2 linked regions of the Anolis sagrei genome follow. The protein of the gene in region 2 interacts with the protein of the main gene of each other region in a biochemical or structural test. Links are inferred from orthologs where the notes say so. Each region holds a gene or a part of one and is shown on either strand. Other genes may lie near its edges. The genes, in order: FGF19 and FGFR4.

The links.
Region 1: the proteins of FGFR4 (region 2) and FGF19 form a complex in vitro, tested with the Homo sapiens proteins (2 studies listed by BioGRID and IntAct). The link is inferred for Anolis sagrei from reciprocal best matches to the Homo sapiens genes FGFR4 and FGF19.

The regions. Positions count from the first base shown.
Region 1 is NC_090021.1:266,691,753-266,700,793, reverse strand, and holds the start of FGF19 (fibroblast growth factor 19), read left to right. Parts: upstream 1-4,760; 5' UTR 4,761-4,849; coding exon 4,850-5,075; intron 5,076-6,557; coding exon 6,558-6,661; intron 6,662-9,041. UniProt on the Homo sapiens protein: Involved in the suppression of bile acid biosynthesis through down-regulation of CYP7A1 expression, following positive regulation of the JNK and ERK1/2 cascades. Stimulates glucose uptake in adipocytes. Activity requires the presence of KLB and FGFR4.
Region 2 is NC_090022.1:77,266,205-77,275,533, forward strand, and holds the start of FGFR4 (fibroblast growth factor receptor 4), read right to left. Parts: upstream 4,094-9,329; 5' UTR 3,709-4,093; intron 1,229-3,708; 5' UTR 1,190-1,228; coding exon 1,090-1,189; intron 1-1,089. UniProt on the Homo sapiens protein: Tyrosine-protein kinase that acts as a cell-surface receptor for fibroblast growth factors and plays a role in the regulation of cell proliferation, differentiation and migration, and in regulation of lipid metabolism, bile acid biosynthesis, glucose uptake, vitamin D metabolism and phosphate homeostasis.

The sequences.
Region 1 (9,041 bases), on a different chromosome or scaffold from region 2:
AAAACACAAAGTTTGCAGGCTTGGTAGTTGATTAAATGTCCTTTGACCAGTAGCTGGCCACTTGGAGTGCCTCTGGTGTTGCTGAAAGAAGGTCCTCCATTGTGCATGTGGCAGGGCCCAGGTTGCATTGCAGCAGGTGGTCTATAGTTTGCTCTTCTCCACACTCGCATGTTGTGGATTCCACTTTGTAGCCCCATTTCTTAAGGTTGGCTCCGCATCTTGTGGTGCCAGAGCGCAGTCTGTTCAGCGCCTTCCAAGTCGCCCAGTTTTCTGTGTTCTAAGTGATGTTTTGGCCAGATGGCACAGAGAATTATCTCAAACTTAACTGAAACTGGATTGATAAGTTTTGTACTGTGTATGCTGAACTCACGAAGGTTGTGAGTAAACCAAATAAGTTATTTTTCAAATCAAAGTCTATTTCATTTTTGTCTCTTGAGTGCATGATATAAAACAAGTTGTTTTATGGGGGAGTGTATATTTTTGGGCACTGAAAGACACTTCTGAAGCACAGCTGTTTTTTTTTTTTAATGCACTGGCAAAATCTCTGTTTTCTGAACAGATCAGAGATAACAGGTTACTCAGTCTAACACCTGAAACCATTGCCTTGAATAATTATACAGGGTGAGGCAGCATAACTTCCTTTTTTAAAATGTGTGCCATTTGAAGACGTAGCGGAGTGCTAGTGGTCTCGTTTGAGGGTGGGAGTATAAAGTTTTGTCCTGACACAGTTAAGTCCCCACCATGCATTGGAACAGTGAGGAGCGTGCTTTTGCCGTTGAGGCTTACTTTTCGAGCAGATTTGGAGTGGCCGGCCCACTCTCCAGATTTGGCCCCTTGTGATTTTTTTCTATGGGGTTTTTTGAAATTCCGTGTTTATGTGAACCATCCAAAGACCCTACAAGATTTGAAGACCAACAGGAAGAAATTGCCAACATAATGTCTGCTACGCTGGCAAGAGTCATGACAAACGCCAGAAATCGGTTTACTCAGTGTATGGAGAATGGAGAATGGGGAACGTCACCTACCTAATCTGATCTTCAAAACTACGTAAAACAAAACTTTAGGTATGTGCCTACATTATAAAAAAATAAATTTCTGATTCATACAATGGGTTTTATTAAGTTTTGAAAAAAGGAAGTTATGTTGCCTCACCCTGTATCTAATTATATACCACAAGAGAAGATTCTACTCTAAAGGGGTTTCTGGCTCTTCTCGAAAAGGCCTTTTCCAAAAGGTTATGAATGCTATTTTCCAAAAGTTCAATGTGTTTCCTCCCAACTGGGGGTAGACTTTATAGAAACCATGTGAATAATGCTTGCTTGGGAAAGGTTTCCAAGTGTGGACTGCCCTTTCAGAGAACAAGGGAACAAAAAATGAAATTCCCAGGAAGTCTAGGTGTGACATGGTTCTGGGGAGGGAGTGTATCAGGAGGGGAGAAAGTCGGCGGGTGCCCTTTGCCCTCCGCTTTGGCATCCTGCCCAGGACAACGAACTTGGGGAATGAAGGGAGTGATCTAATCCAACAGGGCTAAATACTTTCCTCTTGGCCTTGGACTGCCACCCAGAGGCTCAGCGTGTCACTTTCACCTAAGAGTGGCACCTTGCCCCTCCAAGTGCCTGCTTGCAGCTTAGGGATGTGAAGGCAGGTGCACACAATGTATATCAGACATAGGCAAACTTTGGCTCTCGGGGTGTTTTGGACTTCAACTCCCACAATTAATAATAATTTATACCCGTCTCCATCACTCCAAGGGGACTCAGGGCAGCTAACATGAGGCCGAGCCCAATAGTTACAACAAAGCAAAACAAATGCAGCATACAATCATAAAATAATACATAAAATAAAATGCAATAAAATATATGGAAAGAAAGAAGGAGAGTAATACAAAATAAACACAGGGTACAACAAAATAAGCAAAGATATTAAGCCGAGTGGGCAGGGCCAAGTACAGAGGATTGGATTTTAAAACCCTGTGTGAGGCAGATAAATAGGGTGATGCATCTCGTGGGGTTCAGATGGGACAACCAAAGGGAATTAATTTCAACCAAAGGATGAGATAAAGTGCATCAAAGGGCATTTTGTACTGAATTGATCAAGGTAAGGGGATTTGATGTTCATTCCTGGAAGGCACACCTAAACGGCCAGATTTTTAGGCTCTTCCTGAAGGCTGCCAGGGTGGGTGCTTGCCTAATCTCTCTGGATAGCGAGTTCCAAAGTCGAGGGGCCACTACAGAGAAGGCCTTCTCCTTCGTTCCCACAAGTCGCGCCTGCAAAGGAGGTGGGAGCAAAAGGAGGGCCTCCCCTGATGATCAACTAAGGTAGGCTGGTCCCAAATCGTTCAGGGCTTTGTAGATGATAACCTACACCTTGAATTGGGACCCGATGAATGGCAGCCAATGGAGCTCCTTAAACAGGAAAGGGCTTGAGGCTGTTTGGAATTGTGGGAGTTGAAATCCAAAACACCTGAAGGGCCCAAGTTTGACCTATATAGTAATATAAATAATGCAGACACACACAGAGGAGTGATGCAAAATTAGATGCTCCTGAAAAGCAGTGTTGTCTGCTGTTGCCTTCACAGCATCACATGAACAATCCCCCCCCTTTCCCCTGTCGATCACCCCCTCCCCTAATTCGGAATCTCTTTCTTCCTGTCGATTCTGGGAGGTATTGCATCAGAAAGAAAGAAAAAAACGCTTGGCCACCTTGGGGAACAAAGGCCCCGCTCCTTCTGCCTAAGGTGGGCGATTTTCCGGGTCAGCAGCAAGCCATTCTATGGAGCCCTCGGAAGACTTCCTTCCAGCGCCTCCCCTCCTTTTCTCTTTGCAAACGGTGCCGGGCAGAATGAATACCCGGCCTTGATTCGCAGACGCGGCGTGGAAAGAAAGACCAAGGGCGTGGAAAGCGCGGCGTCTCCCTGAACACGAGCAAAGGCAGGGCAGGGGCCAGCCTTTCCAAACACCACCGAGATTCCTTGAACTTTGGGGAGAAATTGGCAGATCTTGAGGGATATATTGTGGGAAAAGCAAGGATAGTACAAGAAGGGACCTCAAGGTGCTTGAGTCAGCCTGAGTGTGAGGCTATGGGTGCAGAATTAATGCAGTTTACTGATTCCCCAGCACTGCCAGGGCTCAGTGCTAGGGAATCATGGGAGTTGTAGTCTTACAAGGCTTTGGCCTTCACTGCCAAAGACCAAACCTCAGTCCCCAGAATTCCATACAGCATTCAAGTGGTGTGAAACTGAATGGGTTCGAAACACACCCGCCTGGCTTAATTTGGTGAAGACTGGGTTGGCGTCCCCGCCAGTCATGAAACCCACTGGGCCAGTCACACTCTCTCAGCCTCAGAGGGAGGCAGAGGAGAGCCTCATCTTCTGCTCAACTCTGGAGAGTGGCGCCCTAAGTGGGGATGGAAGGGCTTGGAAGCGGAAGAGATGGATTACTGTGAGTTTTCCGGGTTGTATGGCCATCTTCCAGAAGCATTCTCTCCTGAAGTTTCGTCCACATCTATGGCAGGTGTCCTCAGAGGTTGTGACGTCTGTTGATAAGTAGGCAAGTGGGATTTTTTTCTATCTTTCTGATGCAATACCTCCCAGAATCTGTGGAATATCCAGGGTGGGAGAAGGAACTCTTGTCTGCTTGAGGGAAGTGTGAATTTTGCAATTGGCCACCTTGATTAGCATTGAATAGTCTTGCAGCTTCAAAACCTGGCTGGTTGCTGCCTGGGGGAATCCTTTGTTGGGAGGTGTTAGCTGGCCCCGATTGAGTCTTGTCTGGCTTAGGTGGACTCTCTTTGGATTTGCCCTGCTTTTTGAGTGTTGGATCTTTATTTGCTGTCCACAAGCATGTGGACAATTTCAACAGAAAGGAAGAAAAACCATGAAAACGTACAAAATCTGGCAACCAGTATTTAAAAACTCAAAAATCAGGACAGTAAATAAAGAACAACACTCAAAAACGGGAATTCCAGACAAGAAACAATCAGACCCAGCTAATACCTCCCAACAAAGGATATCCCAAGGCAGAAAGCAGCCAGGCTTTGAAGCTGCAAGGCCACTCAATGCCTATCAGTTGGAACATTCACACATGTCTCAAGTAGACTAGTCTTTCTCCCACCCTGGACTTTCCAGAGATATATAAACCTCATTTGCCTAGTTTCCCATAGACCTCACAACCTCTGAGTATGCCTGGCATAGGTGTTGGGGAAACGTCAGGAGAGCATGCTTCTGGAGCATGGCCAGGGAAACTCACAGCGACCCAGTGATTCCGGCCATGAAAGCCTTCGACAACACATGGAAGAGATGGGCTCCCCTCCTCCTCCTCCCCCCCCCTCCTTGGCACCTCTCCTTGGGGCGGGGGACGCCTTTGAGGCCCCTCAGCCAAGGAGTCCTGTTCTCTATCCCCCCCCCCCCGCCTTCGCCTGTTCTCCGGAGTTTCCAATCGGCACCCTCCTTCCATCGTACGATCCTGGGCGGCGTCTTCAAAGCCCCCTTGGCGCCTCTCCCCCTCCCCGTCCTTTTCTCTCCCTGGAAGGAGGGAGTGGGGGGGGGGTCTCCTGGGCAGAGCGCGTCTCTTGCCGGGAATGATGCAAGAGCCCTGAGCCAGTCTTCGGGGCGTGTGTGGCGCAGGGAGGCTGGCGCTGCTCCTCTCGGGCAAGTGCCGCTCGCCTTTTATCGATCGCCCGAGGGCTATAAAAGGGGGTGGCCGTGGCTCCACGCGTCCTGCCTGCCTTCCTTCCTGCCAAGGGGAGCTCTTCACCGGAGGGGATCCCGCGCCCAGAGCTCTTCTCTCTGTGTCTCTCCGTCCCTTCTGCTCTGCTCTGCGCTGCGGAGGGTGCCTTCGGGGCGGCGAGGATGTGGCGGCGGGCGCTGCCCTTGCTGGGGGCCCTGCTGGGCTTGGCGCCCCTGGCCTCCCGCGCCCTCCCTCTCACCGACGCCGGGCCCCACGTCAGCTACGGCTGGGGGGAGCCCGTCCGGCTCAGGCACCTCTACACCGCGGGACGCCAGGGCCTCTTCAGCCAGTTCCTCCGCATCCACGCCGACGGGAGAGTCGACGGCGCCGGGAGCCAGAACCGGCAGAGTAAGTCCGCTTCCCTTGGAGGAGGGGGAGAAGGCGGAGAGAGGGGGGACCCATGCCTCAGTATTGGGAAGGATGTCCCATGGAAGAGGAGGGAAAGCTTGTTTTCCGCTGATCTGGAGACAGAGTAGGACAGGGAGCAATGAGATCAAATGCCAGGGAAAGAGAGTCCACCTAAGCCAGGCCTGGGCTAACTTGGGCCCTCCCTCCAAGTGTTTTGGACTGCAGCTCCCACCATTCCTAATGGCAGGGAAAGAGAGTCCACCTAAGCCAGGCCTGGGCCAACTTGGGCCCTCTCTCAGGTGTTTTGGATTGCACTCCCACCATTCCTAACAGCCTCAGGCCTCTTCCTCGCTTAAGCGGCTGAAGGGGAAAAGGAAAGGTCCCGAGGCTGTTAGGAATGGTGGGAGTTGCAATCCAAATCCCCTGGAGGGAGGGCCCAAGTTGGCCCATGCCTGAGCTAGATGCTTTCCCCCCTTTGTGGACACATTGTCAGGAATATATACCAATCAGGAGCTTATCTTTATTGATCCAAAACCCAAGGCAGTTTGGAAGGTATGGCCTTTGGTGGTGTTTCCAAATTGCAAAAGAATTTGAGTTTTCACAAGATGGGATGGGATTCAGATCTGTTAAGCTCAAAATAACCACCTGGATGGAGGGCCCAAGTTGTCCCAGGCCTGGGGCCCTCATCACGGTAGAGAAAAAATCCACTTAAATGTATTGTCAAAGGCTTTCATAGCTGGAATTACTGAGTTGTTCTAGGTTTTTCGGGCTATATGACCATGTTCTAGAAGCATTCTCTCCTGACGTTTCGCCTGCATCTATGGCAAGCATCCTCAGGGGTTGTGAGATCACAACCTCTGAGGATGCTTTCCATAGGTGCAAGCGAAATGTCAGGAGAGAATGCTTCTAGAATATGGCCATACAGCTCGAAAAACCTACAACCGAATCCACTTAAAATATGGTTTCTACCTCCTGCAGAATTCTGGGGTTTGTAGTTTAGGGAGGAGCCTTTAACAGTCTCAGTAAACTACAAACCCCATAATTCTGCAGGAGGCAGAAATCGGATTTTAAGTGGATTTTTTTCTCTAGTGTGATGAGGCCCCTGGTTTAAGTATGACCACCCACCACCAGGAATGAGAAGCCAACAGATAGAAGAGTTCTAGAGGCGACCAGTTTTCCATAAGATGCAAAGCAGGGGATTTGTGGACCCAAAGGGGGAAAAAGTCATGAGAGACAGGATTCCCATTGGATGGCCATGCCCAACCCACCTCATGGAGTGGCACCCCTAGTGAAGCACAAGAAGCCGCCCTGAAACAAATCACTCTGAAAAGTGCCACCAAACTACTTTGCAGAGGAAGGTGTCTCTGGATTCCATATCTTTGAGGGTTTCCAAAAAGCGATGACTCCCCCCCCCCCCCCCGCTTCTCCTCCTTCCCACGCGTGTGGTCCCGTGACGCCTCCTCCGTCTGTTCCTCGTGGCAGGTTTGCTGGAGATCCGCGCGGTCTCGTTGCGCGCCGTGGCCCTCAAAGGCGTGCACAGCTCCCGCTACCTCTGCATGGAGGAGGACGGCCGGCTCCGCGGGATGGTGAGTATCGTCCGTGGCACCAAGGGCCGCGCCTCCCTCCCTCCCTCCCTTCCCACCTCCACAGCCATGGATCCGTCCTTTCCCGGAAGGAAGACCACGTGGCGGATTCAAACAACAACAAGCCCTGCTCTTGGACCATCCAGAGCCAAAGCAGGGAGCTCGCCTGCATGATATTCTTGGCAGGCGCCAATGCGGTCTCAACACTTTGTGCCTGTTTGAAATCACACATTCAAAACAGATTGAGGAGCAGAGTCATTAGGATCTTGGTGTGAATTGGCACAACAAGCCTCATCAATTGAGGAAGGGAAGGTAGAAGAAACCAGGAAGGTTATTTTGAAAACGCCAGCCCTGCTGGTGGGATCAGGAGAAAGGAAATCCCTCATTTTCTACATGCCCCATTTTACAGTGTGGTCAATTGAGGATCAAACGGTAGGATCAGTTGCTCTCCCTTTGCGTTCACTGGAAGTTGGACCCCACCCATCTCCCCCCCCCCCTTTCTCTTATCCTCCAGCCTTGTTAGTGTTTTGTTTTGGGAGTAGAGGCGGGGCCCACAATGTTGTTCTGGAATGTGGACTGCCATGCTTTATTGTTTGTTTATCTTTTTCTTCCGGATCTGTTTCAAGGATCACCAGGCCAAGTCTTTGCCTTTATCTCCTCCTGTCCTCACAGCACCCCAGAGGAAGGCGAGTCTGCCAGATAAGGACACCACCGCAGGCCACCCAGTCTGCCTTCTGGCTAGGCAAAGAGTCCAGACCACAATCCCCTCATCCAGCCTTTTTGCTTGTACTTCACAAAAGGAAGAAGTTTGTATAATGCCCCCTCCTTCCCTGCCGTTTCTTAATATTTTTGCCCCATCTTAAATTAGAATCACATCCATAGAATCCTAGAGTTGGAAGAGACCTCATGGGCCATTCAGTCCAACCCCCTGCCAAGAAGCAGGAAAATTGCATTCAAAGCACCCCCGACAAATGGCCATCCAGCCTCTGTTTAAAAGCCTCCAAAGAAGGAGCCTCCACCACACTCCGGGGCAGTGAGTTCCACTGCTGAATAGCTCTCTCGCACAATTTGGAAGTTCTTCCTAATGTTCCAGTTAAATCTCCTCTCTTGTAGTTTGAAGCCATTGTTCTGCATCCTAATCTCCAGGGCAGCAGAAAACAAGCTTGCTCCCTCCTCCCTATGACTTCCTCTCACATATTTATACATGGCTATCATGTCTCCTCTCAGCCTTCTCTTCTTCAGGCTAAACATGCCCAGCTCTTTAAGCCACTCCTCATAGGGCTTGTTCTCCAGACCCTTGATCATTTTAGTCACCCTCCTCTGGACACATTCCAGCTTGTCAACATCTCTCTTCAATTGTGGTACCCAGAATTGAACACAATATTCCAGGTGTGGTCTAACCAAGGCAGAAAAGAGGAGGGGTAGCATGACTTCTCTGGATCTAGGCACTGTATACTATTGATGCAGGCAAAAATCCCATTTGCTTTTTTTGCCACTGTATTACATTGTTGGCTCATGTTTAACTTGTTGTCCACGAGGACCCCAACATCCCTGGCCATACAACCCTTTTCTAGTGAGGTACGTTGTCTTTTCCAAAAACTAGAAAAAGGATTGTTGGGTTGCTGTGAATTTTCCGGGCTGTATGGCCATGTTCTAGAAGCTTTCTCTTCTGACGTTTTGCTCACATCTATGGCAGGCATCCTCAGAGGTTTTGAAGTTTGTTGGAAACTACTCAAGTGAGATTTATACAGTAGTGTCTTGCTTATCCAACAGAAATGGACCAACAGAACATTGGATAAGTGCAAATGTTGGATAATAAGGAGGGCTTAAGGAAAAGCCTATTAAACATCCAATTACATTATGATTTTACAAATTAAGCACCAAAACATCATGTTTTACAACAAATCAACAGAAAAAGCAGTTCAGTACATGGTAATGTTATGTAGTAATTACCGTAGTTACGAATTTAGAACCAAAACATTGCAGTGGAGGCAGACTGTGAAGGCAGACTACATTGGATAATACAGAACGTTTTGGATAATACAGAACATTGGATGAGCAAAGGTTGGATAAGTGAGATTCTGTTGTATATCTGTGGAATGTCCATGGTGGAAGAAAGAACTCTTGTCTGTTTGAGGCAAGTGTGAATGTTGCAATTGGCCAGCTTGATTAGTATTGAATAGCCTTGCATCTTCAAAGGTTTCCAACAAACCTCCCAACTTCTGAGGATGCCTGCCATAGATGTAGGCAAAACGTCAGGAGAGAATGCTTCTGGAACATGACCATACAGTCAGGAAAACTCACCTCAGCCCAGTGATTCCGGCCATGAAAGCCTTCAACAACATAGGATTATTGTTCATGCTGAAGACCAACAGGTCGGAGG
Region 2 (9,329 bases):
CAATCTTCCTGGCAGAGACATCATAAACAATTTGGTGTTTGGAGGTGATCTGCATTAAATACTGCAGATTTTTATTGCATTTTCCTTGAAATCAGGAATCCTGGATGAACTATTACAAAACTTCTGCAATTCTGCCAGCAGATCCTAAATTACTGTCTGCATGCGGTATTCCTTTTGCCCACACAAGTACTGCCTTAGAGGGTGTACTTTCTCCTCAAAGACCATCATCATCAGATTGCTTATGTTCTGTTCAACCAAAAGACTGAGGAGGAAAAAACATGTAGTATAACCATTAAGAGCTGTATGCACTACATCATTACATGGAGAAATGAGCATGCAATATCACTGTGTTAGTATAGACTGGAAATCTTGTGGCCTCCAGGAATTGCTGGATTGCAGCCTCCTGCATCCCTCATTGCTGGTGAGGGCAGTGGTTCCCAACCTGTGGGTCCCCAGATATTTTGGCTTTCAACTCCCAGAAATCCTAACAGCTGGTAAACTGGCTGGGGTTTCTGGGAGTTGTAGGCCAAAACACCTGGGACCCACAGGTTGAGAACCACTGGGTTGGGGCTTTCAGGACTTGCAATCCAGGAATGTTTGGAGGGACACATGATTTCCCCCTCCCCTTCATTAGCAGGTTAGGAGAGAATTGGTTTAGAAGACAGCAAATCATGATTGTAAGGATGCCGCTGTTCAGATGTTGCTGAAGTCCCATCATCCTTTACTATAGGCTATACTAATTAGGATGGATGAGAACTGTACTCTAACAACACTGGAAAGTCCAATTTTGCTTAGCTCTCTCCAATGGGAATAATATGGCTCTGTACTATTGTCATAAGAAATGCAGTATGTCTTATCAAACCCCAACAAAGATGAAAAGGGTGCCCCACAAATTGTGAGAATTCATAGCCCCTTTGTTTCAAGCCAAAACCATTGCTAATTTGGCTTTACTGCAACTTCCTGTCCTCCAGATGTGTTGGATTACAATGGGACGGTCCGTATTGTAATCCAACCATCTGGTGGACACCAGGCTATGGAAAACTGGTCATCTTCTTTCTCCCAACAACAGAGACATCCCCACACTCTCACCCGGTTCTGTGGTTCCTCCCATGGGAGCAGCTGCTGGCCAAGCACATGTGGTTGCCACCACTGCCAGAAACTTCAGAAGGCCACACAGTATGGTTCTCATCCTGTCGTTTCTTCTTGACTCCAGTAGAAATGTAAAGCCCTGGATCAAAGAGAGGAGAAAGTCATACTCAGCCCTCTGGATTTTTTCCACTCAACACACAATGAACCACATATCCTAAGTTCATACCCATCTAGAACTGCCAATAATAATGGCTTGCATGGATGCAGGAATAGCAAAGGAGAAACATGTTTATATAGACATTGACTCCTGTAGCCAGCCATGATTGGCTGCTAGACATTCTCTTTGGAAGGAAAGGGCCGCCAGCAGGGATTTCAAATAAGGGACCGATTTGCTAACCATTCCCACAAGAAAATAAGTTCAAAGAAATGCTAATTTATTTCTTGGGGAGCACATGGTTTGCCATCCTTGCAATTTTACCACTCTTCCTTTGAGAACTGGCTACACTTCATTCAAAGTTCTAGACCAATAGTTCTCAAACTATGGTCCTCCAGATGTTTGGAAAGAACTGCCTGCATTGGCCTCACCAACTAGGACTTTCAGGAGTTCAACTTCAAAACATGCAGAGCAGCACTGCTTCTTAAACTGTGGGTTCCAGCCACAAATGGGGTTCCCTTAGCTCAGTTGGCAACAGAAAAGGTTTCAGACATTTACATGAATCTGTTAGCAACCATGAGCAGCGTTTACAGTGGGCTCTGCAGAAAATGCTTCAGCTGTACTTCATAAAAAGGAAAACCAGCCTGTTTAGCAAGTCTTGCCAATACTGATGTGTTGTCAGGAAATGTTTGATTTTTACATCTATTTTTTACACATATATACTTGGGGTTATGTAAAGGATCTAGACAAGGCATGGACAAACTTTGGCCCTCCAGGTGTTTTGGACTTCAACGCCCACAATTCCTGGCCTCAGGCTCTTTCCTTTTTCCCCTCAGCTGCATAAGCAGCTGATGGGGAAAGGAAGGGGCCTGAGGCCAGGAACTGTGTGAGATGAAATCCAAAACACCCGCTTAAATGGCTGAGGGGGAAAAGGAAGAGGCCTGAGGCCAGGAATTGTGGGAGTTGAAGTCCAAAACATCTGCTTAAGTAGCAGAAGGAGGAAAGGAAGGGGTCTAAGGCCAGTGATTGTGGGAGGTCCAAACACCCGCTTAAGCGGCTGAGAGGGAAAAGGAAGGAGCCTGATGCCAGGAATTGTGAGAGTTAAGTCCAAAACACCCGGAGGGCCGAAGTTTGCCAATACCTGATCTAGAGGACTACATTTTGAGGACCAAATGTAAGTGGTGCTCTCTGGACTAGGACCAATTCCCGGGGCATGAGCTGTCAGTTCCTGGCAAATGACCAGGAAACAAAGGAACAATGCCAGCCAATGGCCCCTATTATGGTGATGGGTCCCTGGTCCAATGGAGGGAAGTAATAGCTCGGTCCCCTGTATCAAATAGACTGAGAAGTGCAGCTGGACCAGGGGGCCCTTCGCAATGGGCATCAGGATGTTGGTCCCTGCCTCTCTGCTTCCCAAGAGGGCAGGAAGATTCTGCCACCTTTTCCCCTTTCTGCCCAAATCTCAGAGGGACATCTTTGGTTGTGAGCCTGGGTGGCTGCTCCAGGGCAGCACAAGACAAACAACAAGAGGGGAGAGCCTGGGGAACCTTAGGACCGGTAAACGAGGAGGGAAAACGGGAGGAAGACGGTGGCTTCATGGGAAGATGCTGCGAGCAGGGCAGTCCCTTCAAGGCGGCGCACCGGGGAGAGTCAGGACGAGGAGCTCTCCCATCACAGGGATCATCCTCCCTGGGATCCGGGTCACCTTCCCGGGAGGATTCGGATTTTTTTTCCGTGTCAGGAGCGACTTGAGAAACTGCAAGTCGCTTCTGGTGTGAGAGAATTGTCCGTCTGCAAGGACGTTGCCCAGGGGAAGCCAGGATGTGTTGATGTTTCCCCATCCTTGTGGGAGGCATCTCTCATGTCCCACTACGGGGTGCTGGAGCTGACAGAGGAAGCTCACCCGCGCTCTCCCCGGATTCGAACTTCCGACCTGTCGGTCTTCAGTCCTGCCGGCAGAAGGGTTTAACCCACTGCACCACCGGGGGCTCCTTTCGGATGCCGCTTGGAAGGAAACGGGGGAAAGTCTTGCGCCTGGAGCGAGGCGCGCGTTTCAAGGGCGAAACGAAGTAAGTTCCCAGCCAGGCGGAGCGGAGGAGATGCGAGAGAGTGAGTGAGAGGACCAGGGGAAGGAAGAAAGAGCTCCCCGGTCTCCCAGGTGGTTTAATCTTTAATCCCGCGATCTCAAAGGGGGCGGGGGGGGGGAGCAAAAGACCTCTGGTAACAGATTGACAGACCTTCCCGGTCAAAGTCCGCCCAGGGAAGAGGGCTCTCGGCCCCGCCACGCCCCGGGGAGCCTCCTGGGTCGCCAAAGGTACTCTCCATCCACACCGCCCGAGAAGGCAGTCCCAAACTATAAGCCAAGGGACGAGGCAACCCGAGTGAGTCCAAGGGCCACCAAGCTTTAACCGCCCGCCCCCCTCCCCTCCGCTGCACCAAACCCGGCCCGAAGGCGCCCTCCTCACCTCCTCCTCCGCCTTCGGCTGCTGCTGGTGCTGCGGCTTCGGGGTCCCGCTAACTCCTGGAAGCTGGGGCTGCGGAGAGGCGCTCCATCCTCAGCTGGCCGGCCAAGGGAGCGAGGCGCCTCCCGCGCGGAAAGGGAGATCGATCCGGAGGAAGAGGAGGAGAGGTTTTTTCCCCCACCTCTTTCTTTCCCTGCCCTGGGAGGCGGAGAGAGCCCCGAACGCGCGCCCCGAGGGTCCCGGCTCCCTTCCCTTGCGCCCTTCTGCCGAAGTCGGCAAAGGCGTGGGGACTTTGTAGCCCCAGGGCTCGGGTGACACCCCCCTCCCTCTCTCTCTCCCTCTCTCGCCTTCCTGCCTTCCCCTTCCCCGCGCGCGGACCCCAGCCAACAATGGGCCGCCAAAAGAGCCAGCGAGGGAGGGGGCGGGGCCCGAGGGACTCCCCTCCCCGCCCCGCCCCCAGGGCCCCTCCCTCCCTCCTTCCCTCCCTGCGCGGCAGCCCCTCCCCTCCTCCACCCCCCCCCCCCCTCCAGCGCCTTTTCACACTCACATTAGCTAAATTCTCTCCCCCAAAGCTCCGGCAAAAGGGATTAGGCCGAGTTCATTCCCTGCTGCCCTCGCTGGGCTTCCTCTCCCGCTCGCCCTGGAAACCGGAGAGACCAAACCAGGAGCTCTTCCTGGGGAAAGGCCACAGGGTTTCTCAACCTTCCCAATGCCGCGACCCCTTAATACATACAGTTCTTCATATTGTGCTGACCCACAGCCATAACATTGTTTTTGTTGCTGTAATTTTGCTACTGTTATGAATCGTAATACTAATACCCGATATGGAGGATGTGTTTTAATTCACTGGGCGAAATTTGGCACAAATACCCAATAAACCCAAATTTGAATACTGGTGGGGTTGGGGGAGTTGATTTTGTCATTTGGGAGTTGTTGTTGCTGGGATTTATAGTTCACCCAAAATCAAAGAGCATTCTGAACTCCACCAGTGAAAGAATTGGGCCAAACTTCCCACACAGAACCCCCATAAACAACAGAAAATACTGGAAGGGTTTGGTGGACATTGACCTTGAGTTTTGGAGTTGTAGTTCACCTACATCCAGACAGCACTGTGGATTCAAATAATGATGGACCTGGACCAAACTTGGCACGAATACTCAATATGCCCAAATGTGAACACTGGTTGAGTTTGGGGGAAACAGACCTTGACATTTGGGAGTTGTAGTTGCTGGAATTTATAGTTCACCTACAGTCAAAAAGAATTCTAAACACCACCAACAAAAGAACTGGGCCATACTTCCCACACAGATACTGTGTTTTCTGATGGTCTTTGGTGACCCCTCTGACACCCCCCTTGCAACCCCCGCAGGGGTCCCAACCCCCAGGTTGAGAAATGCTATTTTAAAGAAATGAGATCATTTATTGTTTTATTTCATTTAATACCCCGCCTTTCTTCCCTTCAGGGAATTCAAGGTGGTTTACAACTGCGGTACCATTCAATAACGGTAAAATCTAACAGTAAAAACAATAACACACCCCCGCCATTAAAACACTTAATAATTAGTTAATAAACACATTCAAACATATAAAGTGCCTAGTTCCAGTCATCCAAAATCCTTGTTCATAGTCCATATTCAAACCGTGTCAAAGCCCATAGTCATTTATATGTGCAAAGCCATGTCTTTAACTTTTTTCTAAAAACTAGAAGGGATGAGGCCTGCCTGATGTCACTGGGGAGGGAGTTCCACCACTGAGAAGGCTCTGTCATCCCCACCAATCACACCTGTGAAGAGGGTGGGACCAAGAGCAGAGCCTCCCCAGCCAATCTTAAAGTTCTAGTAGCCTCATACAAGGAGACATTTAGACAGGTAAATTGGACCAGAACCATTTAGGGCTTTATAGGCCAAGACCAGCACTTTAAATTGAGCTCAGTAGCGAATCGGCAGCCAGTGGAGCTGATTAAACAGGACAGTAGTATGCCCCCTGTATGCCGCTCTGGTTAGAAATCTGGCTGCCACCCATTGGACTAATTGAAGCTTTCGGGCCTTCTTCAAAGGCAACCCCACGTAGAACGTGTTGCAGTAGTCTATGCTAAGTGAAAGGATAGGCAAAAGAAAGTGGAAAGAGTGTGGGGTAGAGAGGGTGATTTGTTGCAAAGGGCCTTTTTTGCCTGAAGATGAAAAGGCAGATTGTGCCCCCTTGGAACTCCCTGCTGTGTATGTTCAGATGACTGGTTCCCAACCTTTTTTAATTATTATCAGGTACCACTTGACCAGGGACCACTTTAACCAGGGACCACTCAAACATTAGTACCAAAAGGGTTACAAATCAGTTTTTGGTCAATTTTAAATTTGGTTTACTTATTTGGGGTGCTGATTCAGAAAATTGCATTGGATAGGCCACATCAGCTCTAGTTTCTGATGCAGAACATAGGCCATCCATTAATCGCCATTTGTTCGCCCACAGAAAACCATATTTAATAAGCCTCATCACTATAAGAGCATTTCATGAGACCAGCCACTCTCGTTGCAACGGGGTAGTAATGGTGAGGACCATATTTTAGTTCTCCCGGACCACTGGTGGTCCACAAACCACAGGTTGGGAACCACTGGTTTAGATAAACTTCATTTGGGCTACTATGTGCCTTGAAGTGGTACATCTACTGCAGAATTAATGCAGGCAGACATCGCTGTCACAAAGGACTACCACCCAGGCCCGTAGCCAGGATTTCAATTGGGGGGGGGGCTGAGTTTGTTTCGGGGGGGGGGCTGTGTCTGAGTGAAAGAGGGTCTACCCTAGCAAACCTTTTGTATCGTTACCCCAATACCCCCATGCATATGGGATATATTGAGCATGGTGATCAGATCATGATATGAATAAACATAACAGTTTAAATATTGCACCAGTAAGGCCTTTTTGCGAACCACCATGAGAATTTCGGGGGGGGGGGGGTTGGGGTTGAAGCCCCTCAAGCCCCCCCCCCCCCCCCCCCCCGCTACATGCCTGCTACCACCCCACTCGCCTCATAGGAAATCTACAAAACAGGAGCTTTTTTGTTGAATTCCACGGCCAGAGAAGCAGATGGTGAAAACAGAAGAACAGCATCGTAACTATCAGTGTTCAGGATGACTTCAACATGCCAGTCCCCTTGAAAGCAATTTTCTAATCTGGATTTCAGAACATCATCCCAGCTGTGAGATAGATGTAAGGCATGGATATGTGTCACATGCATTTACACACACATTCCCTCCACTGGGAAATTGGGAAACCAATATGCCTTTGAACATTGCATTCAGCGGAGCCCAGATAACTGCCTTACTTAGCTTAATGAGAAGACTTGTCACAGATGACTTGTCTCAAATGTATGCCAAAAATCATTATGGGAACGTGAAGTTAGAAGCAGCTGCAGGAGTTGGGAGGCAAATAGTTAATCTGTATTCTGACAGCTGCAGATGGACACAGCTAACTGATTCTTTCTGCAAGACCCTCTGTAAACCCAGCTAGAAATTTCAGGCTGCACAAAATTATGGTTGGGATGTTATGATGGTGGGGGAGAAGTACCCAGATGTTGGTTTCATGCAAAGAACAGAGCTTTAAAAATAATGTTTGGGAACAGGAAAAATAGTGTTTCAGAGCATGTACAGAATGCTTCTTAATTACTCCCAGCCATCATAATGATATACCGGCTTTCCCACAACCTGTCACTTTCCAGAGGTGCTTATGAAGTAGATCCACTGGAGATGATAGCAGACAAATCTAATACATTTGTCTGAGGACATGGGTTTGCCAGATTGCAGAAAGGCTGATAGGCACAACTGAGGGTCCATTTACACCAGTGGTTCCCAACCTTATTTTTTGACCAGGGGCCACTCTCCAACATTAGTACCAAAAGGGTTATGAATCAGTTTTTGGTCAACTTTAGATTTGGTTTGATTATCTGGGGTGCTGATTTAGAAAACTGTATTGGATAGACCACATCAGCTCTAATTTCTGATACAGAACAAATGCCATCCAGTAGTCTCCATCTGTTTGCCCACAGAAAACAATATTTGATAATCTGAATCAGCACCACAAATAACCCCAGGAACAGGCCTAAAAACAAAGACATCAGGGCATCCCCTCTTCCAGACACCACATGGAATGGCTCGGCTCAGGGGAAGGAAGGAAGGAAGGAAGGAGGAGGAGAAGCAGAAGTCAGGAGGCTTGTTGTTGCTTTCATGGGTAGTCAGCCTCTCCCCTCCCGATACAGCCGTGTAGTAACAGTGAGTTCCATGGACCACTGATCTACACTGTAGAATTAACATTGTTTTTCTTTACTTTAATTGCTGTAGCTCAATGCTATGGAATCTTGGGATTTGTAATTTGGTCAGGCATCGGCAACTTTTGAGAAAGAAGGCCCTTGTAAAACCTCTATTCCCATAGCACTGAGCCTTGGCAAATAAAGTGGTGTCAAACAGCATTAATTCTACAGCATAGATGCAGCCTCTGGCTGACTATTAGAAGAGAAGGTGTGGTTTTCAGGTTGCATTGACCTCTGTCCCCCTTTCTTAAACTAGTGTTAGGAAATGACCCTCCAATCTGCAGCTCCATGCATAGCAAAGAAAGACCTGCCTGCTTTTCTGCCCTTCACAAATCCATACAGCAGTCAACCAATGTCTCTATTTCAAGAGTCTTTAATTTTAAAATGTAGTCCAGCTCCCCCAATCTGGAAGACACCAGTATGGGGGAGCCTATTTTAAGACAGTCACAAGCATCTTTGTTGTTTTTGCTGCCACAAATTAACACAAGCCATCCCTCTCCGGAAACACTTTGTGTCCTCAAGTTCTACGAAAAGGAAAACGGCCCAGCCCCAGCGTAATAAAAACAGGGAGTTCAAATGCCTTTCGGGGGGGGGGGGGGGAGTGTGAAGATGGCAACCTCTCCACCTCCTTTTGAAAAAGGCGAAGAGGCCTTCCCCGAGGCTCAGTCACACAGGGAAGCATTTGGAGGAGCCAAGTTGTCTGTGCAGGTTATCACCGTGTGAGGAAGGTTATCCACTGGGAGGAATGTTTGCCTCATCACTCTTCCAGCCAAACAGCCAAACAATAAGCTATCCATTTTTAATTTATCTTGCCATGGCTTCAGCTCCACAAGAACAACCTGGATGGACTGACTCAATCTTGGAGAGGAGCACAGCCTGGAAAATTCTTTTAGCATGGTTTGTTTTGCAGTTGTTTCTCCAAAATAAACCCAAACCCTTTTGCAACATTTGGATGGTACCCCAAGGATTGTCTTTCAGGATATTTCAATTGCATAATCCTAAATATCCTAAAGGCTAATCAGTAGTCAGTCTTCGTTTGTACTTGGATGGAGACTTCTAATGTAGCTCAGGCTCTTTAGGCTGCATTTCAGTGGAAGGAAGTGGCAACTCACCTCAGAGTCTTCCTTGCCTAAGGAAACCCTATGGATTGTTATTAACAACAGGTAATTTGAAGGTGTGTGTACACACACACATTAATGCATGACCAAGAGTTGGATTTGGTGGTTCTGGTAGTCACTTTCAACTCAATGATTTGAAGAAACAGTCTAGTCCAGTCTTCCTCAACTTTGTGTCCTCTAGTTGGTTGGGGATGATAGAAGTATTA